4 linked regions of the Arabidopsis thaliana genome follow. The protein of the gene in region 3 purifies or fractionates together with the protein of the main gene of each other region. This does not show direct contact. Each region holds a gene or a part of one and is shown on either strand. Other genes may lie near its edges. The genes, in order: REF6, VSP1, AG and CHR17.

Region 1 (7,949 bases), on a different chromosome or scaffold from region 3:
ACATCTGATAAACCGCTAATATGGTGTGGCGACTTAAATGTCAGGTAATGAGGAAGTTTTTTCTATATCTTCTCTTGCTATACTCTTTTCCTTAAGCCCTTACAGAATAAAAGTTGATGTTATTTCCTCGATTCGATTTTTGTAATACGCAGTCATGAGGAGATAGATGTTAGCCACCCAGAATTTTTTGCTACAGCAAAGCTTAATGGTTATGTTCCTCCAAACAAAGAGGTAAGGAATACCATATTTTGTACGATTTATTCATTATCATTATAGCTTTTATCTAAAAACAGAGCTGGCTCTCAATAATGTTATTTTCCGTCGGCCTTTTATATCTCTTCCTATCTTGTCTCTTCATCTGCATTGTGACCCTGCTATTGTTGATGACTTTACTACGCCTGTATTTCTCTTCCTATCTTGTCTCTTCATCTGCATTGTGACCCTGCTATTGTTGATGACTTTACTACGCCTGAACCGAAAGGTTCTCCGTGAGATGGACCTTTAAATCATACAATGACTACAGTGGTTTTGAGTTTTTTGATTATGCAGGACTGCGGACAGCCTGGATTTACACCATCTGAGAGAGGACGCTTCGGGGCAACTATAAAAGAGTATGCGTAATATGTCTTTGCACTGCGAAGTCTTAGTAGTAGTACTTTCTAGAATACAGATTAGAGTTACTAAACATGTGATTATAAATTATATTTATGGGAACTGTTACAGAGGAAGGCTTGTTGATGCATACCGGTATCTACACAAGGAGCAAGAAATGGAAAGTGGCTTCTCATGGTCGGGGAATCCCATTGGAAAGTGAGTGGATACTACACATTTTAGTTTTATGGCTTGGAGTCCAGAACCTCCGCATGTTTCTAAAGCTATATATTGATTTTTTGTTTTGGTTGCCATAGGTACCGGGGAAAGAGGATGAGGATCGACTATTTTCTGGTCTCTGAACAACTCAAAGACCGTATAGTTTCTTGTAAGATGCACGGTCGTGGGATAGAACTTGAAGGTGCCATAGATAAACCTGTTCATCACACAGATTCATAGAAGATTATTATTAGCTCTTTTTGCAACAATTTGGTTCTTGATTTGTTTCAGGTTTCCATGGGAGTGATCATTGTCCGGTTACACTCGAGCTTTCGAAGCCATCTTCAGAAATGGAACAGAACCAGGTGTCAAACTAAAATCATCTTCTTCTGTATTAGAACATAAGGCCTTCTTAGGAACAAGCCAAAGCTTATTTTATCAGAGAATTTAATTTTTACTTTGCCGAGAGATGCATTGAAGATTTGATTGAGGTTATTGAGACACTTATTTAGCCTTGTTACTCTGATGAACTCTCAAATGTACTTATAATTATTGTTGTGCTTATCTTAATATGTTTTATTTTCCTAAGAAATGTTGATATTTTTAATTGTGAATCTTCTTCATTTAATTATTTTTATTTATTAACTTTTGAGTCATTTCTAAAGATTTAGAGCTTTTGTTGGTGTATTTTAAGCATATTATACCCTTTGCTTTATTGTCTTAGTCAGTAGGTAGAGGCAACATTCGTTAAACCAATGGCTCATTCAAATTCTTTTTTTTGGGCTCATTCATATTCATAAAAATCAAATTTGGATTCAGCATAACAAACACAATAATATATGTAGACATTTATATCATACATTAATTTCTACTAATTTCATGAACTACCAAAGACTAAAAATGTTTAATGAGAAATATCTTTTTTAAAACCATCAAAAATTTTACTCTTAAAATTGGGATTTATGTTTGGTTTTAAAAAGGAGTTTTTGAATGTGCAAACGGATTTACAGAGAGGACAACAACAAATGTGTGTTAGAAATGGCAGAATCGTAAATAATAAGAAAATCATACCCTTTTAAAAACCATTTCTCTCTCTAACTAAGTGTTCTTTACTTGTTTTAATACAGAGATATCACAATCTCTTGCTCTGCCCAAACCCATCCCAACCCCCTAAAAAAAATACAATTTTTTCCTCTGTTTCTTTAATCCAATAAAAACAGAGAGACCTAAGAAACGAGATCAACAAAGCCCGTCGTTTTTTTCGAGGAAAAGTGAATGACCCTTTAAGAAAATAACTCTATTGGCCGGAGAAATGGTGGAGACTCGTCGATTCTCTTAAAGTTTGTTTTTTTTTCCTCTCTTCAAAATTTTTGTTCTGTTTATACTCTGTAATGGCGTTTTAATTTGATACCTAGAAGTTAAAGTGAACAAATTTTGAGAGAAAGTCTCTTTTTTTTGTTCTTCCCTGTGTGTGTGAGAGAGAGAGAGAGATATGGCGGTTTCAGAGCAGAGTCAAGATGTGTTTCCATGGCTTAAATCGTTACCGGTTGCTCCAGAGTTCAGACCTACTCTAGCAGAGTTTCAAGATCCGATCGCTTACATTTTGAAGATTGAAGAAGAAGCTTCTAGATATGGAATCTGTAAAATTCTGCCTCCACTGCCTCCTCCTTCCAAAAAAACCTCGATTTCTAATCTCAACCGTTCTCTGGCGGCAAGAGCGGCGGCGAGGGTTCGTGACGGCGGCTTTGGCGCGTGTGATTATGACGGTGGTCCCACATTCGCCACGCGCCAGCAGCAGATCGGGTTTTGCCCTAGGAAACAGCGTCCAGTGCAGAGACCTGTGTGGCAGAGTGGAGAGGAGTACTCTTTTGGTGAGTTCGAGTTTAAAGCTAAGAACTTTGAGAAGAATTATCTCAAGAAATGTGGTAAAAAGAGTCAACTCTCTGCCCTTGAAATTGAAACACTTTACTGGAGAGCCACTGTGGATAAACCCTTCTCTGTTGAGTATGCCAATGACATGCCTGGCTCGGCTTTTATCCCTCTGAGTCTGGCTGCTGCGAGGAGGAGAGAGTCTGGTGGTGAAGGAGGAACAGTTGGTGAGACCGCTTGGAACATGAGGGCAATGTCTAGAGCCGAAGGATCATTGCTTAAGTTCATGAAGGAAGAGATCCCTGGAGTTACATCACCAATGGTGTATGTTGCTATGATGTTTAGTTGGTTTGCTTGGCATGTGGAGGACCATGACCTTCATAGTCTCAATTACTTGCATATGGGTGCTGGTAAGACTTGGTACGGTGTGCCAAAGGATGCTGCTCTGGCTTTTGAGGAGGTTGTTAGGGTTCATGGTTACGGTGAAGAGCTCAATCCTCTTGGTGAGTATGATAAGTGTTATGTGTTAGTGACTCATAGTTACTCAATGTATCAATTCATTGTTCTGATTGTTGGCTTTGTTGTGTCTCTGTTCTTTTTGTTGCTTTTAAATGCTTTTCTTTCCCTCCAAAAGTTGTCAGGGGTAGAAGCTGTATGCAAGCAAACTAATTGGTTATGCCTCTTACGTTCTTGTCTTATTAGTGACATTTTCTACTCTTGGTGAGAAGACAACTGTGATGTCTCCTGAAGTATTTGTTAAAGCCGGAATACCGTGTTGCAGGTAATGGTTTTTTATGTTTGTGCTCTGTTTATCTCATCATCTTGTTGTTTGCATGTCTCTTCTTTGGTCTCTTATAATTGGCACACTTTTTCTTCTTCTGGTTTTTCACGCAAGTGGTTTTTTTGTATCAGGTTAGTGCAAAATCCTGGAGAGTTTGTCGTCACCTTTCCGGGAGCTTATCATTCGGGATTTAGTCATGGTGAGTAAGCGACCTATATTTAGTATCTTTAAGTCAACCATTCAAAGGCCTAGTATGTTGAAATAACTTATATTATCCATAAAAACAATCGTGGGGGTTGTACAGGATTTAATTTTGGAGAAGCATCTAACATTGCCACTCCCGAATGGTTGAGAATGGCTAAAGATGCTGCTATCCGGCGAGCTGCTATAAATTACCCTCCAATGGTTTCTCATCTCCAGCTACTTTATGACTTTGTATTGGCTCTAGGTTCTAGGTACTCTTTCTTTTCTATAGACACACTCAAACTTTTTAAGCTGCTTGAAGGGCTCATATAAGGTATGTTTCACTCATTGCAGAGTGCCAACAAGCATCAATCCCAAACCACGGAGTTCTAGATTAAAAGATAAGGCAAGAAGCGAAGGAGAAAGATTGACCAAAAAGCTATTTGTGCAAAACATTATCCACAACAACGAATTGCTTTCTTCTCTCGGAAAAGGATCCCCAGTGGCCCTTCTCCCACAGAGTTCCTCAGATATATCAGTTTGTTCTGACCTGCGAATTGGATCCCATTTGATAACCAACCAGGAAAACCCAATCCAGTTAAAGTGTGAGGACTTAAGTTCTGATAGTGTTGTGGTTGATCTCAGTAACGGTTTAAAGGATACAGTTTCAGTGAAAGAAAAATTTACATCTTTATGTGAAAGGAGCAGAAATCACCTAGCAAGCACGGAGAAGGACACTCAAGAAACTCTGTCTGATGCTGAAAGGAGGAAGAATGATGCAGCTGTTGCGCTTTCGGATCAAAGGCTTTTCTCTTGTGTTACATGTGGAGTCTTAAGCTTTGATTGTGTAGCTATCGTTCAACCTAAAGAAGCAGCTGCTAGATATCTCATGTCTGCAGATTGTAGCTTCTTCAATGATTGGACAGCTGCTTCTGGATCTGCAAATCTTGGTCAGGCTGCAAGATCACTTCATCCTCGTAAGTTACAGGTCGCACTTTCGGTTATTGGCTGTTATTTAGCATTTACTAACTTTTTTTCATCATGCAGAAAGCAAAGAGAAGCATGATGTAAATTACTTCTACAATGTTCCTGTTCAAACTATGGATCATTCAGTGAAGACTGGCGATCAAAAAACTTCAACAACTTCCCCGACAATAGCGCATAAAGATAATGATGTTCTTGGGATGTTAGCTTCAGCATATGGAGACTCTTCTGATTCCGAGGAAGAAGATCAAAAAGGCTTAGTTACCCCTAGTTCCAAAGGGGAAACAAAAACGTATGATCAAGAAGGTTCAGATGGCCATGAGGAGGCTAGAGATGGTAGAACTTCTGATTTTAACTGCCAGAGACTAACCAGCGAACAGAATGGGTTAAGCAAAGGCGGAAAATCATCACTTCTGGAAATAGCTTTACCATTTATTCCAAGATCTGATGACGATTCATGTCGGTTGCACGTGTTTTGTCTTGAGCATGCTGCGGAAGTGGAACAGCAACTTCGTCCTTTTGGGGGGATTAACTTAATGTTACTGTGCCATCCAGGTAACATCAAAACTACAAGATTCATTTTATTAGTATTTCTGTATCAGTTATGCAATTCTTTAGTCTTTTTCATCATTTTGACGCACAACATTTGCAGAGTACCCCAGGATAGAGGCTGAAGCAAAGATAGTTGCCGAAGAGCTCGTCATCAATCACGAATGGAATGATACTGAATTCAGGAATGTGACCCGAGAGGATGAGGAAACGATTCAGGCAGCGTTGGATAATGTTGAAGCTAAGGGTGGGAACAGTGATTGGACCGTAAAATTGGGTGTTAACCTTTCTTACAGCGCTATTCTCAGTCGCTCTCCTCTGTACAGTAAGCAGATGCCGTATAACTCCATCATATACAAGGCGTTCGGTCGCAGCTCTCCAGTAGCGAGCTCACCCTCGAAACCCAAAGTCTCTGGTAAAAGATCGTCCAGACAGAGGAAATATGTTGTTGGAAAATGGTGTGGTAAGGTTTGGATGTCACATCAGGTACTATTGTCTAACCTGAATCCATACTAATTCAGACATTAGTACACTTCTGTTTGGTTCAATTTGCTTTTCTTTCTTCAGGTGCATCCCTTTTTGCTGGAGCAGGACTTAGAGGGGGAAGAATCTGAAAGAAGTTGTCATCTTCGAGTTGCTATGGATGAGGATGCCACTGGAAAGAGATCGTTTCCTAATAATGTTTCCAGGGATTCGACAACAATGTTTGGAAGAAAGTATTGTAGGAAGAGAAAGATAAGAGCAAAGGCGGTGCCACGCAAGAAGCTTACTTCTTTTAAGAGGGAAGATGGAGTTTCTGATGACACATCAGAAGATCATTCTTATAAGCAGCAATGGAGGGCTTCCGGGAATGAGGAAGAGTCTTATTTTGAGACAGGGAACACAGCTTCTGGTGATTCATCAAATCAAATGTCTGATCCGCACAAGGGAATTATCAGACATAAAGGTTATAAAGAATTTGAGTCAGATGATGAGGTTTCAGACCGTTCACTTGGGGAAGAGTATACTGTACGGGCATGTGCAGCTTCAGAGAGCTCAATGGAGAATGGCTCTCAGCATTCAATGTATGACCATGATGATGATGATGATGATATCGACAGGCAGCCTAGGGGGATTCCAAGGAGCCAACAGACAAGAGTTTTTAGGAATCCAGTTTCATATGAGTCAGAAGATAATGGCGTTTATCAGCAAAGCGGAAGAATATCCATAAGTAATAGGCAAGCTAATCGAATGGTTGGTGAATATGATTCAGCAGAGAATTCTTTGGAGGAACGAGGCTTTTGCAGTACAGGGAAAAGGCAAACCAGGTCAACAGCCAAACGAATAGCAAAAACCAAGACAGTTCAGAGTTCGAGAGACACAAAAGGTCGCTTTTTGCAAGAATTTGCATCTGGAAAGAAGAATGAAGAATTGGATTCATACATGGAGGGACCTAGCACACGGCTTAGGGTGAGACATCAGAAGCCGTCGAGAGGGTCTTTAGAAACAAAACCAAAGAAGATTGGTAAGAAGAGAAGTGGTAATGCTTCCTTCTCCAGAGTTGCAACTGAAAAAGATGTGGAGGAAAAAGAAGAAGAAGAAGAAGAAGAAGAGAATGAGGAAGAGGAATGTGCAGCATACCAATGTAACATGGAGGGTTGCACGATGAGTTTCAGTTCGGAAAAACAGTTGATGTTACACAAAAGAAACATATGCCCAATTAAAGGCTGTGGTAAAAACTTCTTCTCACACAAGTATTTGGTTCAACACCAGCGTGTTCACTCAGACGACCGTCCTCTGAAATGTCCATGGAAGGGATGTAAGATGACGTTCAAGTGGGCTTGGTCTAGAACCGAGCACATAAGGGTTCACACAGGCGCTAGGCCTTATGTTTGCGCTGAACCGGATTGTGGTCAAACATTCAGGTTTGTCTCTGACTTCAGCCGGCATAAAAGGAAGACCGGTCATTCGGTTAAGAAGACCAACAAAAGGTGATTTAGGCTCTAACATGGAATCTATCATGAAGAAGATTACTCCATTGATCTATTAGAAGAAAATTGGATTGTACGAATATTAGGGGTTTTCTAAGTGTGTATGTCTCTCTGGTCCTCTGTCAATTCGGGATTATAAAGTCAAAGTCTTAACATTTGGAATAGCCATTGTTTGTTGCAGACGTTTTCACTTTCAGACAGATTCTCTCTTTGTTGTATTCTCTATTTTTGCAGTTGAATGAATCTGTAACAACAACAAATCCTGGTGTAGGAAAAGCATTGTGTTACTCAAGTATTTGACATATATGGTTGTATACGTGGCTTATCCTGGTTGGTTGACAGTCAGAGTTCATCGCCGTGGACTTCATTTGACTTTGATAAAGACTCAAACCTACCAAATTGCTAATGAATGACATTACCTGTGTCAACTAGGATGTAAAACTCTCTGACTTCAGCACACGGCACAAACGAAAGACCAAATGACTTAACATTTGGAATTGCCATTGTTTGTTGCATAAAGATTCATCTCTTTGTTGTGTTCTCTCTCGTCTTCTTCAGTTAGTCTATAATAACAATCCTGGTGTAGAGAGAGACTTTGATTTGATAAATAAAGGAGCTGCTTGTACAATTAAAAGCTATGTTGCATAATTATGAAATATCAAAATACGATAAGGACTTAGTTGCAATTCTCAAAGAAATATCTGAAACGCATAATTTTAAGTTAAAAAAGTGTGCATGAAATGTGAACTATTGGACCTTGTCAACAAATTAAAGCAACGGTTTCTTTGAGATTCTCATTCGTG
Region 2 (3,972 bases), on a different chromosome or scaffold from region 3:
GAAAGAGCCTATATTCTTGTAGTGGTAGAATAGTAGTTTCCATTTGAAATATGAAGTCTTCATGTGCGTATAGTTTAGGGATTAAAATTCTTCAACTATTTAAATTATTCGGTCTGAAAGTACCCTGGTTAACAACAAAAAAAAAAAGTTGCAACGACAAAAGTTTATGTTTTTATTTCATAAAAACTATTGACCAAACATCTGATGTCAAAGAAAAAAAAAACTATATTACCAAACAACATATACTTTAATCACTCTAAAGGGAATGTAGTTAAAACTCGAATCATATTAAGATGATGTGTTCCCAACTAATATCAATCCTAAGGATTAGTCGGTTTAAACATTGGTTTCATCATATAACGTAAAGGAATGAGTGTTATACCACTACCAGCTTAACGTAAATGGTGAGAAGATATTCATAGAAAATGATAGTCTATACTCTATACATGATTAAAGAGATTGGTATAGTGTTGTGTTAACTGTTATATTTACATGGAGATATCATTTCATGGAAACTTGATTAATGATCCCTTTAACGAAAAACAAAATTTAGTACGAAGTCGTTGTACTTATTGAGTTATGATAGGATTGGCATTTTATTTAAGCAGTGGTGCCAAAACGGCTACAAAGATAAACGAAACGACATAGATATGAAATGGATACAAGGGGACAATGCCATGAAGATAGATGCTTAATTAAGAAGGTACGTAGTAGAGTGGATTTGGGAGCTTAAAAACCCTTCCAGGAGTATCCTCAACCAAATCAGCCCATTGGTCTCCAATATTCCCAACGATGTTGTACCCTTTCTTCACAAGGCTATTCCTAACCTTTGACTTGTACACCACTTGCGTCAACTTCGATCCGTTTGGCCTGCGTTTCCATATATAGTCCTCGATATTCAATCACATATGACATTATTTGCTATATATAACTAAGCTACTTGATTAATTCTTACTTGAGTATGAGATGCTTCCATTTTGTTACACCAACAGCCTTGAGATTCTCGACAGTGACTTCTGACAATTTTTTCCATCTGTCAGAGATTATGATGGGTTCAATCCCGAGTTCCAAGAGGTTTTCGTATAGATGCAAGGTCTCCGGGAGTCCTGGAGTTGATTCTCCGGACTCTAACCACGACCAGTACGCCCCCGGGGCTGTGTTCTCGGTCCTAAGAATCCAACAAAAAAAAATCTACATTAGAATGAAATCACAAAGTAGATATGGACCCAAAAAAACAGTTAGATGGGTTAGTTAAAATATTTAAAGTTGTCAAATGAAACGTGTCTTTCCATATATGACAGCTAAACATTTTCAAAAAAACTATATGACGATAATATTATTAATTCAATGTAGATAGGTACAATAATATGTATATACCCATATCCATATTTAGCGTAGTAGGGAATACTAGAGAGGAGAGTGTCGTCTAGGTCAAAGATCCAAACATTGACGGTATCGTTCTTTAGGGCAAGTCCTTTGGCGTAAAAATATGCCTCTTTGTTTACAGTTTTGGAGTCGTATTGGTACTGTTTGGAAGTGATCAAGTAGTCTTCAACATAGGCTTTGCAATTTGCGGGCACCGTGTCGAAGTTTATGATGTTAGAGGTCTCAACACCAAGGTGCCAGCTTCTGCAGTTGGGGTAGTTGATGGACAGTCCCTCTTTCTCTAAGAGTTCGGCTTCGTTCCCAAAGATGGTGTTCGATTCGAGGAGTTCGATGAGCCCTGGAACGGATGCCGAAGACTGGACGTGGGAGACCGTAGCGGCCAAGAGCAAGAGTAGTGAAAGTGAGAGGATTTTCATATTTTTTTGTATGGTTTATTGTTTAGTTTATGGTGTTTATTTGTGTGACACAAAGGGTGGTATTATATAATGAGGTGGGTTAGGTATGATTACTTATGAAGACCGATGGGAAAATGCGGAGATAAGTGTACGTATGGCTTCGAGTGATGCAAATGCTTGTTGGTCCCATTATGCTTGTAACCAACGAGATATTTTCACTTACACCACTCGTTTTTAGAGCACGTTGAGACTGTGCTAAATTAGAATTTGGCGTGTCGTTGTTTAAGTTCTATTATTATCGTTCGCTTTTGTGCTTGTTGATTTTGGATCAGGGTTTCAATTACTGTGAAGTTATTATTCCACATTAGTAGAAAAATGTACGTGGACATGATGATGTTTGCGTGTATAACTTGAGTTTGCGGAAATAATTTATAGAGTAAAGTTTTTATTTCTTTGATAAATAATTGATAGAGTAGTTGACAAAAACAATAATGCAAAACGTGATGTGTATAAACGAGTAATTGGCAACAGCTTCCGCAATGAGCGAGAAAAGATGGGTGTACTGTACAACGATAATTATAGTTTCAACGATAATTGTACGTTCTTCCAACAATATAATTATTTTTTCTAAGGCATACAACCTCGTGAGATCTATTTAAAATAGCTTAAAGAATTTATATATATTAAGGCAAAGTGTTGCAAATCAAGTTGTGGTGGGGTAGTAGCAGCTTCCGCTTAAAATTTGGAGTTCTTATGTTGATTTTAGGTTAAAGCTTGATTTTCTTCAACTATTTTTTAAAATGTTTGGCGATCGGTAAACGTCTTGCATGACCAGAAAACATGAATTTCTATAGACCATGGAGATTAAAATGGACTCAAGAATTCACCCGATTAACAAGAAAACTAAACAAAAACAAAGCAAGGTTTTGCAACGACATAAATTTAAGTTTTCTTGTTTCTATGAGAACTAATGGATAACTATTTATACTATAATTTAGTCAACTCTAAGAATTTCTGTGCTACCAACTACTATGAATTCTTATATTCTTCTACAGCTTTAACTTTGTTGACAGTCTTAGTATCTGGAATAGTCTGAATTATGTTTGCAGAATCAACAGACACAATCTCACCTTCCTCTACTACTATTGCTTTTTCTTTCATTGGAGACTGAGGTTTAATCACGCACACATCCCCTAGATGACCCCATTTACCACAACGAGAACATTTTGGAGGCAACAAAGGATAAGCAAATTCAACAATTACGTCTTCCTCTTCATCAAGCTGAAACCGAAAACATTTTGGGAATAATTTAGTCATGAGACTCTTTTCCAATAATTTGTTTTGCAGAAAACTTGTTGCAAGAGAATTTGTCACCTCTAATACTAAATGAGTACACCAGCGCGCGAACAATATTTACTCAGTCAATCTTCAAAAGATGATAGAAGATTGTGTCACGAAGATAAATGTTCGCCATGTGAAACGTGTAAATCACACCGGTCAAAATTGGTATTATAGATTTCTTAGTGGAATATTGAAATACTGAAATAGTCGAATGATCTAGTTGCGGTAACGTTTAAAATGAAGAGATTTTTCGTATATTATTTATATTTTGTTTCTTTTACTTGCATATGTAACGTCTAACATACATAGCGGAATTGTTCGAAAAAAATGAATGCATGGAAACTTTATGAATATTGTAAATGTAAAAAATTATGTGACATTAAACGTGAAAAATGGTATACTGTATATTTATCACTAAAAGTCCCATACGAAATTTAAGTTGCGTAAGTACTCAATAATTACATACATAGCTACACACACACACACACGATTCAAATGACTCCAAAAGAAAGATACGTGCATATTGCATGTCGCATTCCAAAGTTAATGTTGTTTCCATAATAAAACGCATTGCTTCATCACACGTCTTGACGGTCTGGTTCTGTTTCTTTAACTAATTTAGCTTACTAAACGGATAAAAATGAATTTTAGCTTACTAATTTGCGAGCCCTCTTTTTTTCTATGTCAACAATTATTGAGACCTCTCTATCACTAGCTTACTAATTACTTTTGTTAAGTTCCGGTATTTACTTGATAGAAATCTTTTAATGGTTAATATCAGTTGACTAATGAATTATATATGATATAACCTTTGATGACATTTTTTTTCTAAGAAGTTTTGGACTTATGG
Region 3 (7,656 bases):
AATCTAGTAACCGGAGGCTAGGAAAATGAGCTTGATTATGACCATGATTTATTGAGAACAGGTATGGAGCCATCCGATAATGTTTGCTCTTGGTTTACGAAATGAAGCTAGGCAGAGATAAGCTATTGTATGTGCATTTAAAGAAAATATGGTTAATACTCTTGTATGTGTTTTCACCGAGCAAGACGCGAGATATTGAGACCGGGTGGTGAATGTATTCCTGGTAGGCAGCTACAAAATGAACGAATGTTTCGACATTTTGCAACTGTACCACATGGGGAGAAGGAGGAGGAGGATGGAACTCAGCACATGAATATATATCATTATCATATTGAGACTTTTCTATAATAAAATCATTAATAGAGCAGGAATTGGTAATTAAATACAACAATTGAACTAATAGTACACTTATACACATAGATGTTTTGAAGCAAATTAAGCACATTAATGACATGTCTTTAAGATATTAATTTCACATCAACATAAGCATAAAATTCACTGATACAACATTCATGGGATAAATATATATATAACATGCATTAGCTTTATATTGCTTGCTCAACCCAATTCTGGTTTTTATTCACTCCCGGCCATTTCCTTCAGCCTATATTACCTACAAAACAGCATAAAAGACCAAATCCATGCTGTCAAGTTTTACAAAATGGACCGATTAATAATATAAGACTAGAATGATTGATCGGAGCAAGATTTTGTGTCCTTACACTAACTGGAGAGCGGTTTGGTCTTGGCGACCCGCGGATGAGTAATGGTGATTGTTAGGTTGCAATGCCGCGACTTGGAAATAATTCCGTGAATCAAACGGTTGAGATTGCGTTTGAGGTGGTGGCATAAGCTGCTCGTAGTTAGATCCTCCTGGCATTAGACTTATACTCGGATTGTTCCTCTCATTTTCAGCTATCTACATTACACAAATATATGTCATAAACTATTTATCTACAAGTACTTTCACCATTTTAATCGTTTTCATATAATATTTATTGAAACAATAGGGAAAATTATAGAAATTGATATATAATGTGTACTTTTACCTTTGCACGAAGAATCTGGTTATCGTTATGCAAATCAACTTCCTGCTTAATCGGTGCAATGCAAATGAGCAAAATTATTATAAGAACATATTAAGAATAGAAATTAAGTTAAGATTTATTTCTTACTCTTTTCTGCATGTAGTCGATTTCAGAAAATAAGAGCTCATTCTGTAAAATTAAACAAAAATTAGCAACAAGGCATATAGATTTAATTTGATATTATATTGAAGCATTTATAAAAAAAATAGAATTACCTTCTTGGATCGGATTCGGGTAATACTTCTCTCTAATCTGCCTTCCAAGTTCCTGAGCTCTTTGGGAGACATTGACCCTATCGTCTCACCCATCAATTGCCTAATTGATTTATCAACATATGTTAATATATCAAATAGTTAATAACAACCAAGTAATCAAATATTTCAAGTCAGTTAGATAATTAACCTGTTGGAGTTTTGTATGCTGATTATTTGTTGACGCAATTTGGCTGATTCTTGTTGATAATACTACAACAACAACAAAAAAAAAAAGAGTAAAAGAATGAACAATGTTGTCATGTCATCATATATTAATTAAAATCATTCGTGTAATATTAAGTTACCACTTACCTGTGCATTAATTTCTGCCACCGATCCGGTGTTAGAATTGTCCGATATTGCCTTCTTGTACCTCTCAATAGTCCCTTTTACACTGCAATAATTTTTTTAAAGGAATTAATAAGTTAATTAGACCTATTAACTACCTATTTTCTAAACTTAATCTACGCTTAAATCTGCATTTTGATAAGTAATAAAAAATAAAATTGATAGGGTCAAATCGACCACTTGCACAGTTAAGTGATTCTAATACGAAACCTTAAAAGCAAACATCGGTTCTTTTGAGTCAGAAGAAATGCAACTTAATGTGACACATGATGTGAAGAAAAAACAAAAGTAATATAAGAAAAGGGAACAATTAAATAGTTAATAAAATATTTCCTTAAAGTTGTAACAAATAAAGAATCATTTTATGAAACAATATGAACCCTAAATAAATTAAAATTCCTCTGAAACCTTAAATTTATCGAGCTAGTGATTGGCTGCCAACTGCCATGCTGGCAAAATTAGAGTGACATGATTGGTCTGAACATGTCTAGGGTTTCAGACATGTGACATGTGTCAACAACCCATTAACACATTGGGTATAAATCCAATAGACATTTGATAGTATTAAAATTGTAACCATTGGATTAAATTTAAACGTGATGGATGTAACTAAATGACTTGTCCGAGTAACATCACAACGTTCCATACTTTCCTTATTTGGAATATAATTAAATTTACCATTTATTCTTTTTTCTTGAGTTTCCTGTATATGTACTTGTACATAGATATATATACACAAATACGTATTACAATGACATATTATAGACTTTGATGTCTGAACTCTCAACCTTCTCGATGGAGAGATCATGACCGTAGATTTTTTTGGATCGTAGAAGGCAGACCAAACTCTTAAACTATTGGATCCGTACTAAAAATCTCACTTTCCTCTCAGTACCCATAATGAGAGAGAAAATGATAAAAATCCCTAACATTATTCTCTCTCTAGAAAAAAAAAAGATACTTCAAAAAGAAAGAGAAATTGCATAAATCTATCTACACCAAAGATGTTGAAGCAATTCCAATGCTATACTTCTATGCCAAATCTATTTATTCAGTGATCATTAATCTTTTTACTTCCAAGAAATATGAACAATTTAGTATCCTTATAATTTTTGTCTCTATATATGTAATATGAACATTGGGTATTGACCAAATGAGAAATCTAATATTAAATGGTCAAAAGTAGTAATATGATGACATTTTTGAATTTATAAATAGGTTACAAATTAATTCATTATGACATAAAACCTTCTTGTCAGAAGTCAAGAACTGAAACTAACAAAACTTTATAATAAATTAGTAAAAATACAAGTGAAAAATAAAAAGAAATAATATCTGAGTGATGACGTGATCAAAGATTCTTTAACAAAGACAACAAATCTTACAGACCCAAAACCTAATCTTGCGCTCAATTCCAACCTCTGAAAAAACCTCAAAAATCTTATAAAAGAAAATAAATAAAGAAACGAAACTCTGATTTCGTAGAGTACCCATCGGATATATAAAAAGAAATTAGTAGGTAAATGAAGACTAATTTTGATTGACTGATTTAATTTGAAGTCGTTGTTAGCTTTTCTTGTTTTGGACATGAGAATTATATATTTCAGGACATGAGAGTTGACAACTGTAAACGATTAAGAAAATTGATCTTTTAATTTTCAAACACCATTTAATCTTGACATGTTTTATGTTTTGGTGGAGAAGAAAGTAATCACGTGGGACTCTCTACTAATAAGTATTTGGAAATTGCGTGTCGAATTAGAGATTACTAGTTTGAGTAATGTAGTTCGAAATGAGATTAGTTATTTTTAATTTTAAAAAGAGTAATTTTAAGGAATAACAAAAAAGAGTCCCCATAAGCTAATTTGTCTTAATTACCTCCTTGTTTCATTGACTATTTGAAATCTTGAAAATTCAGTTGAAATTTCAAATCTATGTTTCTTTTGACCACTTCTAAACTAATCTTAGCTCATATATAATTTTCCAAAACTACAAAAATAACACTAACATTTAACATTCTCAAGAGAAAACAAAAACAAAAACTTAGATAACCATCTAAATTGTCCTACATGTACGTATAAGTTCCATTATTTTCTATCACTCATATAAGTTAAAATTTCATGAAAACTCAAAAATCTAGCTAGTTTCACCTTATTCACTCTCACTTACCATCACATGTGTTTGTATCAAATATATGATATGATATAATTCATGAGAGAGAAAGAGAGCTAGAGATAAGAAAGGAAAGTAAGAGAAAGAAGAGAAGAAAAAGAGAGACACAGACATTAACAACAATGGAGGATGGATGATCACAAAACAGAAGATATGACCTCATAGTCCTTCCTTACTCTCTCCCCAATTTGTTTCCCAAAACTTACTTTTATAGTCATAAAAATCAAGTTTTTACCTATTACAACACCAGATCTATAAATATATCTAAATCTTCAAGTACTTGTTAGTAAGGAAAATAGAAAGATATAAGATTTTATTATTATTATAATAACAGAAATGAGTGAAGAAAGAACACCCAACAAAGTGAATCTTAGTTCTACAAAACTGAATCTAAAACTCCACATTAGAAAAAACCCTGATGGTTTCTTATTTCTTTTCATTTATTATCTAACTCTCACTCAGATCTCCTTTAACTTTGTACCATTTCCCTCACTTCATATATCTATATATAACAAATTCTCTCTTTTTATTTAAGTCTTAAGGGAAAATTAATATACACATGAAGAACAAGAAATTAGATCTACAAAATTGTTACAAAAACCCCCGAAGTAAATAAAATAAACATATCAAACAAATATTCCCACTAATGTTAGTGTGTTTATATATATATGTGTGTGGAATATGAAGGAAAAAAGTGAAAAATAATCCTACCCATAAGAGCATTCAAGAAGAAGAGAATCAAATCTAGCTTAGAAGATCGAAAACCCTCGTAAAAGATTTATGCTTTAACATAAACATAAAACCCTAAATCGGACTTTAAAAATAATTTAATTATTAATAAAGTAAGAACAGAGCACGAGAAGAAGAAGAAACCTGTTGTTAGAGTACTCATAGAGACGACCACGGCTAGAGAAGACGATGAGTGCGACTTCAGCATCACAAAGAACAGAGAGCTCGTAAGCTTTCTTGAGCAAACCATTTCTACGTTTGCAAAAAGTGACTTGACGATTCGTTGTGTTCTCGATCCGTTTGATTTCGATCTTTCCTCTCCCAGATTTCCTCAAGGGAGAGGAATCTCCTCCTAGCTCCGATTGGTACGCCGTGATTGCTGCTCCAAAGCCAAAAACGTTTAGGGCAAAATTTGATTAGTACAGAATTACAAGAATCCAACAAAAAACCAATCAAGATTTTCTTGAAAAGACTCAAGATTCTTCATGTTTTCTATTCTTTTGAATTATGGTTGAGATTAAAGTTAAACTATAAAGATTTAATTTAATTCTGTTGCCGACACACATCTTATAGAAGGAATTATAAAGTTGAAGAACTTTATTGATCTTACATTCATATTCTCCTAACAAGAGTTAATCAAGAAAGGATGGTAATACACAAGTTATAAACTAAGAACAAAATTGTTTTGTAACCATAGGGATAATTTAAATCTAGAGTGTGAAAAAGAAAAGTTTTAAAGAGTTAAAGAAGATCAGAGAATTTGTGAATCTTGTTTCTCTCTAAATAACATAAAAAGAATCAAATCAAAACGGGAAAAAAGGAAACTAAAGAAGAACAAAAATTTGGTTTAAGGACCAAAAGAAGTGAAGCAAAGTAATATTATGAAGAAGATAATGTTTGAAAGGATTGGGGAACAACAAAATACTAGCCTGACCTGTTGGGGGGAGAAGAACAAAGGGGAAAGTTTTATTTTTCTTGGGAAAATGATTTTCTGGAAAGTATGAGATTTGGAGAAGTTGCAGAAAATGGAAGGTAAGGTTGTGCTGGTGAAGAGATGGGTATATACATTTATAAAGGAATATTTTTTTTCTTTTTAATTTTCTCTACTATTTATCACCATTTTTCCCCACTTTTTACATCCATATAGTGTCTTGTCAATTTGTGTTTGATTACTGGTTTTCTTACTCACTAAAGCATAGTTTTATGAATGGAATCTATGAGATAAGTATGTGTTTCTTCTTTATTAGATAGAGTTAATATACATGTATTTTCTGAAAAGTAATTCTATTTAAACTGGTTTTGGAACATACACATGTTAGATAATTATGTGGTGAAAGTTGATTTTGAGAATTGACAAAAGTTTTGTACTTGGTTGATAGTTATATATGAGGGAAGTATAATTAATTAAACTGGTGTTTCTTTTCAGTACATTTAGACATATGATAGGTTAAAATAAAAGATTGACATAGAGCAATCTAAAGGTTCACAAAGCATGAGTACATCAGCTTTTGAAATCACATGAAAAATATTATTAATAAATAGTGTTAATTACCATAAATAACACCCACCATACATCCGGACTTTTCATAAATATAATACTTATTAAGGACACCCCCAAATTGAGAAATTGTAGAAATGAATAAATAGTTTTTGGAAATGAAGAAAAAAAGAGAGAGTTATTGGTGGGTAGTTCTTGTGTGGTCTTTCACAAAGGTCTAAATGAAAAGAGGGTTCAAGTTGGGCAATCACTCATGAGATGCAGACTCTACTTACCATTACTTGTCTTTGCTTTTCATGTGAAAGTTTTTGAGGCACTAAAATCTTTGGGTAAATCTGATCAGTACATTTTTTTGTTACAACAAATATCGATCTTCTTCTTTGTTTCTAGTTTTTACTAAATCTTGATCTTTTTAAAGAGGAAAAAATTTCAGCTCTATTCCCTTTTCTTTTGTGAATTGTTTTAAAGATTTAAGTGACATTCTGCAGGAAAATTTGTTTCACTAATTAAGGAAGTTATTTATAAACAAATATATGGTGTTGTATATTTGATACCATTTTACATTATTTTGCCAGAATAAATATAAGAAAATGGATTCTGGATACTGAAAATATTAAAGAATAGAATTTCAAAAAATTTATGATAATATTGTAATTACATGATGAGGTGTAATTTATTCCGTATATAGTAACTGATGGTGTACAAATATAAAGTAACATATAAAAGAAAACTGTGTAATTAGATATATGGCTAAACTGATTATTAGTAGTAAGAACCAATATACTTATCTATTTAATGGTGTGGCAAATATAGAATCGAATGATGTAAAAAGAAGGAGAAAATTACTCAGATAGTGAAGAAAATTAGCATACTATTTATGTTAGTGAGATTTGAAGTTGATGATGTTTACTTGTTGTGATATTGACATATAAAAAAAATGATAAATTAATAAGATAAATAGGGTTTTAGGGTTTATAGGGGAAATAGGGAGATGAAGCGTACTTTTAAGGGGCTGGACAAGACGTAGGGCTTAATTTGGAAAGTTATTTAAGTGTAATGCTTCTGACTCAATTAGAAGGTAACCAGACTTTTCTCTCTTCTCCAACTACTTTAATCTCTCTCTCTTTTTTTACATTTTCTTTTTGACTTTTGTCGCCCTCTTCAAGATCACAGCTCTCCATATTGTTTGTGAAACTACTATATGAATATACATAGGTGACTACTTAATAAATTTTGTTGAAAAGTATCTAACTGTTAAAATAGTTCTCCTAATTGGCTAAATGGATTAAAATTTAACCCAAAATATGGATTAATAATCTTTCTTGTTTTATTTGATAAAGATCTTTGTAGCTCGTATGTGGAAGAAAAAAATTGGGTAGATATTTTCTAACATTTTGTTAAATAAGTTATTTTTAAAAAATGTTGAATAATTGAGGAGCACAATGTATAAATGGAGTAAGGTTATGCCAAAAGAAGAGGGAGAGTAGCATGTGATGTGTAGTCTTTGATCTCCATCTTTATGAACCCATTTAAGGTAATTTGATAGAGATAAGAGAAACCTATATGT
Region 4 (7,697 bases), on a different chromosome or scaffold from region 3:
TTAGTGATGGATTCAACACAAGCCTTCTTATTTCCTACGCTTTCCCTGCAGAGACATAAAGTTTTTTTTTAGTTAGGATCAGAAATAGATGGTCTGTCTGCTTTGCATGAATTAACCAGTAAAATGAAAAACTCTTTTTATGTTTTGGAAATGATTTTGAGTACCGAGCTCACATAATCATCCATTGACAGCTGCTTTCGTTTCTTCAGAAGAGATGAAGGGCTCTCATTTGCTTGCCTACCCGAAGGTCGTTTTGATGGCGTTGCACTCTGAAACAAGTTGTAGAACAGATCATGAGAAACAATTCCACAGCATCTCATCAGTAAATGAAAATGTAAACTTAAAATGTTCTTCGCACAAAAAAAAAAAAATGTTCCTTCAAGTCCTCACCTTTGAAAGCTTCTTCTCTTTTCGGGCTTGCCTCTCTCTCTCATCAAATTCTTGATTCTCTTTCTCAATCAACCTGATTAGTGTGTCACATCTCCTTGCAAGTTCCTGAGTTGTGCGGGATTTTACAAACCAGTCAAACCTAAACAAGGGGGATGTCCGAAACGCTGCCTTTAGCTCATCCCAGTTTCCATACCCAAGTTTATGGACCATGCATATCTGATAATCACAAGTTCATCGGGTCAATATCATATTAGAATAAAACAATAACAATGAAATCTCAACAAAGAGTTTGATAAATAGATGTCATACCATGAAACGGTCGCACTCTTCATTGTACAGCTTCCCTTTGTTCTGACCATATTGAATCTTCAGTTCCAGCCACGGGTTTCTGTAGCGATCCAGTTTCTTCCCAATAGCTTTCATGATTTCATCTTTCCTAGAGATTCTTGCTTCCCCTCTCTCAATATTCTTGATGATTCTGTCGTAATCTACAATTTTTACAAAGGAAAACAAGAGGCAGAGCTTACTTAGGATAAATATCCAACTTTGTCGCACTGCAAACACTCATTAACTTTACTTAACAATCTAAAGTTACTAACCATTCAGCTCTTTATATCGCACTTGGAAAACTTGAGCATATCGTTCAACCTCTTCCTCAGTTTTCCCTTCCATCTCAGAGGCAATACTCTTTATGTCGTTCCGGCCATACTTCTCACAAGCCCTAATGAAGGCATTGAAGTCTCTTCTGCTCCATGTTGAGAAACCCTAAAAAATATCAACTCCATTAAATTATAAAAAAACCATCAAAAACAAATGTCAACCCACAGTAAGGTCGAATGGTTTGGCTTGCCTCTTCCAGCAATAGCTCCTTTTCTTCCACTTCTTCAGCAGTTAAGGGATCTCCAACTTCTGCAAAATTATTTCTTAAGTAATAGATTCAGTAAAATAATGTAAGAAAAGAGGGCAAAGACTGAGAAAGACCTTCAGGTTCATCAACCTCAATTGTGTCTTTCATTTGAGTTTTCTGATGTGCTTGCTGAAACCAGAGTGAAACAAATTGCTATTCAGAACTAATCAGACACAAAAGCTGCATAAATTACATAACATGTTGATAAACTTGTTATTCCCACCATAAGGTATCGCACTTCTTTTTCATACAGCTCAGTCAGCCTCTGAATGTTAAAGAACTGAAAATCATGCCTGCAGGATGGACAAGAAATTAGATTTTTACGATAAAAGTACTATAAATAAGACAGGGAAAAGGCTAAATGCAGAGTGGAGACAATTGAGGTACTCACAATTGGGGCATGCGTGGAATTCTAGGCTCTTTAGGTTTAGCTGGAGCACCTTGTCGCAACGTTTGCTTGAAGTATTCAACTTCAGAGTAGCTAAAGGGTGGGTAGAGAAAAGTAAATTGTTGAAGTTAGATATTGTTTAGGAAGACAGGATAGACCACGTAATGAAAAAGTAGAAGTAATATTTACTTGCGCTTTCTCTCTCTTTTTGGTGGATCATTCCAATTTTCACTCACAATCTTTTTAAAATCCACCTTGCTCTCATCCTACCAAACAAAATTAAAAAAGAAATCAGGAAACGATATTCGAAAAACTGCAGAGCATAACCACAGTATGCGTTAAACCTTTCCTTCAATCATTCAATTAATTATCCAAGAATACCTTGTTGTCATCGTCAAAATCATAAAAGTCAGCACCTGCAACAAACCAAAAACTATCTTGTTTGGACATCCCATTACCCATGCAAGGGAGTTACCATTGGAAAAAGGGATAAATAGCACACTTACTGTCATCCATTTTAAACTGTATTGCATCTTCAGTAAATTTCTTCATCTTGGCATCAAGTTCAGCCGTTGCCTCTTCTCCTTTGGCAATGATTCTGTCAATATCCTCATCCGTAATTGTGCTATCTTTAGAACTAAACACCATTTCAGCACCATATCTCACCATTTGAAGCAACTCATCCTTATTAACAGCTGGAAAGCAAAGAAAAGAAATCAGTATATATATGTAAGAGAAAATCCAATACATCTAACAGCCTCAGTACACAAGCACTTACTTTTCTGTTCTGCCAATCTCCCTTGCTGAATAACCAGAGCATCAAGTGCCAACTTCTTGTAAGCTCTCTCAATGACTTTAGCCTCAATAGCATTCTGCATAAGACCAATGCAGAATTAGTTCAAGTTCTCCAGGTCATTCTTACTTCATACACATGGGTACAAGAGTAACCTCGGTGCAGAACCGGAACACTTGAACTTCTTTTTTTTGACCAATCCTATGTGCACGATCCTGAGCTTGCAAGTCAACTTGAGGGTTCCTGCCATAATCCACCCACCTCATTAGGCATAAAAGAAAACACTCATAAATTACAATGGACACAAAAAGAGCCTTACCAGTCACTATCATAGAGGATCACAACATCTGCAGTAGCAAGATTGATACCAAGTCCTCCAGCTCTAGTGGATAACAAGAAAACGAATTTCTCACTTCCTGGCTTGTTATAGGCTTCTATGGAAGCATCTCGTTCGTCACCACCAGTATTTCCATCAATACGGCAGTACTGGTAACCACGATACATTAGGTAATCCTCGAGAATATCCAAAAGCCTTGTCATCTGATACAGATGAGCAAAATCGTTGGAATAAGCACAAAGAACCAAGAAAGATATCACTCAGAAAAAAGGAATCAAAGATAGGAACAATTATTTGTTTGCGTTAATGAATACCTGAGAAAATATCAGAACCCTTGAATCTCGATCCTTCAACTTAGGTAGCAATTTATCTAAGAGAACCATCTTACCTAGAAACAAGAACATGTAAAGAGAAAATAACTAAGCCAATTGCCACATTTCTGAATGATCTACTTGTAATGTAAATCTTACCTGCGTTTGTTACAAGGTGATCTCCTGTAGTATATGGGGGACCAGGCTCCGCACCCTGGAAGAGATAAGGGTGATTGCAGCATTTCCGCAATTGCATTGCTATGTTCAACAGACGTTTGCGTTCTCCACCACCATTAACCACTTCAAGATCCTTCTGCAGTAAAGCCTTGTAGTACTGTTTTTGCATTTGAGACATGCCAACTTTGAGTATTGTCTCCTTTTTTGGAGGTAAGCCTTTCTCTACATCTGATTTTAACCTCCGAAGAAGAAATGGTCGCAGAACCTACAAAGATGAGGTAAATGATTAGCATAAGAACTTAGAGAATAACCTTGATAAAATATGAGTACATACCTTGTGAAGTTGTTGAACAACTTCTTGCTGGTCGTTTTCACCAGAAATTTGAAACCACTCGTCAAAAGTTTCTGCTGAACTAAAAACCTCAGGGAGAAGAAAATTGAGAAGGGCCCACAATTCATGGAGATTATTCTGTAGTAGAAACATATGAAATGAATACAATATTAACTCAAGCAAATCAAGTACAGAAGATAGTAAGAAGCATGTCTAAGGAACACGAAAAGAAAAAAAAACTAAGTTCAACAGACTCAAGCAAGAAAGTAGTTTCAACATAGGCAGAAGCAATCTGACAGAAAAATTGAAGGATCTAAACAATTATAGATCAAAAGATTTGACAAGTACCTGAAGGGGGGTTCCCGTGATAAGAAGCCGATAGTTGGTGCTGAAAAGTCTCATGGTTTTCGAAAGGAGTGAATTCTCATTTTTAATTCGATGTGCTTCATCAATGATTATATATCGCCAGCTAAAACGGCGCAATGTTGTCTTCTCTTTGATAGCCATCTCAAAGCTTGTTACACAAATGTCGAATTTCCCTGCAACTAGCAGTTCTTCACGAATATGTCTCTGCATTATTTAAAATATATCTCAGAATCCTGCCAGGTGCATATAAATGCAACCATTCAAATGTAAGAGCTATTATGACTTACTCTTTCCTCGGGATTACCGAGAAATTTCACAGCACGCAGGACAGGACAAAATCGGCGAATTTCATTCATCCAGTTACCAAGGGTTGATTTTGGAGCAACTACCATATGAGGGCCATTAATTCCCCTGTACTCATGCAGGTAAGCCAACAAAGAAATGGTTTGAAGCGTCTTCCCCAGACCCTAGACCATGAACAAAAACAATAAAGATTAGCATCAGATAACATTAGAGAGCTGAAAAATCTTATTATATGCTAAGATAATTAGTGGTTTACCATTTCATCTGCAAGAATCCCATTTATGCCGTTCTCATACAGCCGAATGAGCCAGTTTAAACCAGCTAATTGGTAATCTCTTAACTTCCCCTGAATACCTGCAATATGAAGAGTATGAAGATCAGATCTCTAAATTCTACAGAATTTATGCAGTCCTACCTAGAAATTGTGAGCTCGCAACTGAAGAATATATCAAACAACTCTACCAATCAAAGAAGTGGGCATAAGGTGTCAAATCCTATAATAACTTCGACTCGCAATAGGACTTGAGCAAACATACGCTATATCAAGATATTAGGAGCAAAACAAAGGTACTTACAAGCGGGCTGAGTGAGCAACCGTGTGCCTCCAGATCCAACTATACCACCCTCTTCTTCTTTTAAACACTCTTCATCTTCCTCTTCCTCGGTTAGTTTGGAAGAATGGCGACCCCTGACGATAAAGTGAAACCCAATAAATTATATTTCTGGAAACTTAATATGAATAACCACAATTTATTTTGAGATAAGTTGCACTCAACACACCTTCCTTTTCCCTTCTTCTGGGACGGAGACGGGTCACTTTTAGCAAAATGTGCAAATAACTCAGTTTGCTGCAGAAGATACTTTATCCTCCCCTTTCCTTTATTGTTCTAATAAATGGAATGATTGAGTTATTTCAATACCTCTGGATACTAAAGACAAGCAGCTCAGTTATTTACTAACTTACCATATCAGCATCTATGGAAGCATTTTGGGAGTCTAAGATTTGCTGAATTTTCTGCTTCTTCATCTTCTGCATTTCTTTGAGTCTAGCCTTCTCACGTTTGCTGATCTCAGCTTTCTCCTCGTCTTCTTCGTCCTACATATAACCATCAAATTATGAAAAGAGTGACCAAATATCCTCACGAGTCACATGAATGTACCATCATAATGAGCGACCACCCATCATTGTAAGCACTTCTAAGCATAAACCTTCAAACAAAGAGAGTCGAAACCAAAAGACACCCAAATATCGAATATACGCTCAAAGGAAACCCTAATCTTACTTAGAATACATTCAGATTTCCAAATACAGCAATCCCCGAATTCACAGCCGACATGCGAATGTAAATCGAAGAGTGGAAAACAGAAACGAAGACATACCTCTTCAGCGTCATCTTCTACGGGGACAACCTCGTCGTCAGAGACAGGTGCTTCGTCGGGCGCAACATCTTCCTCGTCAGAGCCCGCAGAGCGAGCGACGGCCTCGAGCTCGTCATCATCTTCTTCCACATTGGCCTGATCGTTAACTTGCTCCTCTTCCTCCGACGAGTAAGCCTCGTCTGAAGAAACTTCCCGCTTCGAAGCTCTAGCCATCGACGCGCCTCTACGAATCCTGATTTCGTCTGAGAGATCGAATCGAGGGTTCCTGAGTTTTTTTTGCTTTGGTTAGTAAATAAACAAAAGTGAAATTAAAAGCAACAAACCCGACGTTTGAAACGACCGTAGCTTCTATTTTACCCCGTTGATTTCGAGAAATCAAATCTACGGCTGAGATGTGCCACGTTGGCTTGACTTATAAAGATTCTCCCGCCACTTGAGAAGTAAGAGTTTCGGAAATTCCCGCCTTGGAATTCGGGCTTTAAAGGCCCATGGGCTCGAAGTTAAACTTAGAAGAAAGCGAAAGTCAAAAAGGTCAACTTCTCGTTCTTATAACGGAACGGCCTTATCCATTTATCCGCCCGAATCACGTATCTGACACCTCAGCACTTGAAGTTGCGACACGCTACACACCTAAAATTCCAATAATACCCTTTGAAAGAGCCTACACGCTTGTCTCATGCACCTTTGCGTATAGAGGATGAAAGTGGAAGTTAAGAAAAAAAAAACCGAATATTCGTATTTTAATCGCCGTTTCTTTTCTTCTATTAGCTTCTGTTTCGCAAGATCACGACTTCTATATAATAATATATAAGCTCGCCGTATAATTTTCTTGCCGGGAATAATCTCCGATCATCGTCGGAAATTTCCGAATTGTTGTAAAAGAAGTCCAATTTAGGCTTTGGATCCTCAGTTTAATTTATCTGGGACTTTTGGTTGCTGAAATCTCTTTCGGGTTTTGTCCTAATCCTCATTAGTTTGGGTTTCGTGAGTCTCGTTTTATAAGGTATATTTTTGGCTAATTTGCTTCCGAATTCTGCTTTGTTTTAGCTCAATTTTGCCCTTAACATTGGTTGATGAACAGAGGATGATGTGGTTGTGTTTATTGTCTTCTTGCAGAACATGGGACAAAAGAGATTGTTGTTCTTGCTGGCAGTTTTTACTTTTCTTGTTTCATCTTCATATGGTAGAGGTGGTAATGCAACTTCTATAATGATTCTATGTCTGTTTCCTTTATTGGGACTTCCAGTTTTTTTATTCTCCTGAGTCTCTCTGAGCTTAATTAAGATTTTAAACTTTCTGTGTAATGTGAAGTGCTTGGGAAATTGGAAATTTAATCTGGCTACAGTGATTTTTCATTAAGGCCTAATTACATGTTCTATCATGTTTGGAACAAATCAATTCATAATCCTTGTAGCATCATCATATACATAAGGAACCATGAAGGTCAAAATATTGATTTCAAAGCTTTATGTTTTCGACAATTTCATGTTCTTGGTATGAGTTGTGAGGCTACGAAGGAGTTAAGACTGAAGCAAGTGGATTTATGTTAGCTTCTTTCTTCTAACTGCAGTTCTCAAGTTGAAGAGCGATGATGATCGACCTGTTTACAACCATACGCTTGCCGTCACGCTTGTGGAGTATGCCTCTGCGGTAAGTTAATGGCAGATTAGTGAAGTAGTAAAAGACCTTTGATAATGATTTAGCTTCAAAACGTAATACCCTGTAGAACGAATGTCATTTATATCTAGTGTTCTGCAAGTGAGAAGAAATTACACTTGTCCTCTTCATATTTTCATTTATCATTATTTGCACTACTAGAGAAAAGAGATGATGCTGATAACGTACATAAGATGAGTGAATCAAGTTTGTAAGATGTATGCAGGTCTATGAGTCTGATTTGACAAAACTCTTCACTTGGACGTGCGAAAGATGCAATGGTTTGACAAAGGTAAAAAACACATGTTGAAGCAGATCACTGTTTGAACTTTGAAGCCGCAATTATTGAGTTGAGCTC

What was found.
Region 1: the proteins of AG (region 3) and REF6 purify together in Arabidopsis thaliana (affinity purification with mass spectrometry, with the first as the bait; one study listed by BioGRID). This does not show direct contact.
Region 2: the proteins of AG (region 3) and VSP1 purify together in Arabidopsis thaliana (co-purification; one study listed by BioGRID). This does not show direct contact.
Region 4: the proteins of AG (region 3) and CHR17 purify together in Arabidopsis thaliana (affinity purification with mass spectrometry, with the first as the bait; one study listed by BioGRID). This does not show direct contact.

What each region holds. Positions count from the first base shown.
Region 1 is NC_003074.8:17,933,307-17,941,255, forward strand, and holds REF6 (relative of early flowering 6), read left to right. Parts: upstream 1-1,949; 5' UTR 1,950-2,302; coding exon 2,303-3,182; intron 3,183-3,381; coding exon 3,382-3,460; intron 3,461-3,591; coding exon 3,592-3,659; intron 3,660-3,740; exon of another isoform or gene 3,741-3,764; coding exon 3,765-3,915; intron 3,916-3,997; coding exon 3,998-4,620; intron 4,621-4,690; coding exon 4,691-5,182; intron 5,183-5,279; coding exon 5,280-5,662; intron 5,663-5,743; coding exon 5,744-7,150; 3' UTR 7,151-7,486; downstream 7,487-7,949. Other genes in the region: AT3G48425 (DNAse I-like superfamily protein), read left to right, coding at 1-44, 153-231, 550-611, 724-810, 909-1,012, 1,102-1,187. UniProt on the Arabidopsis thaliana protein: Histone demethylase that demethylates 'Lys-27' (H3K27me) of histone H3, thus acting as a positive regulator of gene expression. Demethylates both tri- (H3K27me3) and di-methylated (H3K27me2) H3K27me.
Region 2 is NC_003076.8:8,507,088-8,511,059, forward strand, and holds VSP1 (vegetative storage protein 1), read right to left. Parts: upstream 2,115-3,972; 5' UTR 1,803-2,114; coding exon 1,378-1,802; intron 1,169-1,377; coding exon 956-1,168; intron 891-955; coding exon of another isoform or gene 871-890; coding exon 696-870; 3' UTR 503-695; downstream 1-502. UniProt on the Arabidopsis thaliana protein: May function as somatic storage protein during early seedling development.
Region 3 is NC_003075.7:10,381,226-10,388,881, reverse strand, and holds AG (K-box region and MADS-box transcription factor family protein), read right to left. Parts: upstream 6,027-7,656; 5' UTR 5,202-6,026; intron 4,971-5,201; 5' UTR 4,966-4,970; coding exon of another isoform or gene 4,842-4,965; coding exon 4,736-4,841; intron 1,901-4,735; coding exon 1,811-1,900; intron 1,737-1,810; coding exon of another isoform or gene 1,729-1,736; coding exon 1,655-1,728; intron 1,553-1,654; coding exon 1,491-1,552; intron 1,404-1,490; coding exon 1,304-1,403; intron 1,218-1,303; coding exon 1,176-1,217; intron 1,092-1,175; coding exon 1,050-1,091; coding exon of another isoform or gene 1,017-1,049; exon of another isoform or gene 920-1,016; coding exon 723-919; intron 614-722; coding exon 610-613; 3' UTR 343-609; downstream 1-342. Other genes in the region: AT4G18970 (GDSL-like Lipase/Acylhydrolase superfamily protein), read left to right, coding at 1-7. UniProt on the Arabidopsis thaliana protein: Probable transcription factor involved in the control of organ identity during the early development of flowers. Is required for normal development of stamens and carpels in the wild-type flower.
Region 4 is NC_003076.8:6,196,163-6,203,859, forward strand, and holds the start of CHR17 (chromatin remodeling factor17), read right to left. Parts: upstream 6,005-7,697; 5' UTR 5,897-6,004; coding exon 5,684-5,896; intron 5,400-5,683; coding exon 5,268-5,399; intron 5,191-5,267; coding exon 5,084-5,190; intron 4,992-5,083; coding exon 4,879-4,991; intron 4,658-4,878; coding exon 4,560-4,657; intron 4,468-4,559; coding exon 4,288-4,467; intron 4,205-4,287; coding exon 3,983-4,204; intron 3,773-3,982; coding exon 3,638-3,772; intron 3,569-3,637; coding exon 3,286-3,568; intron 3,204-3,285; coding exon 3,130-3,203; intron 3,019-3,129; coding exon 2,798-3,018; intron 2,722-2,797; coding exon 2,634-2,721; intron 2,558-2,633; coding exon 2,464-2,557; intron 2,381-2,463; coding exon 2,192-2,380; intron 2,102-2,191; coding exon 2,067-2,101; intron 1,952-2,066; coding exon 1,875-1,951; intron 1,779-1,874; coding exon 1,689-1,778; intron 1,591-1,688; coding exon 1,521-1,590; intron 1,427-1,520; coding exon 1,372-1,426; intron 1,300-1,371; and 12 more. Other genes in the region: AT5G18630 (alpha/beta-Hydrolases superfamily protein), read left to right, coding at 6,803-6,875, 7,254-7,333, 7,566-7,631. UniProt on the Arabidopsis thaliana protein: Possesses intrinsic ATP-dependent nucleosome-remodeling activity. Constitutes the catalytic subunit of several complexes capable of forming ordered nucleosome arrays on chromatin. Involved in the formation of nucleosome distribution patterns.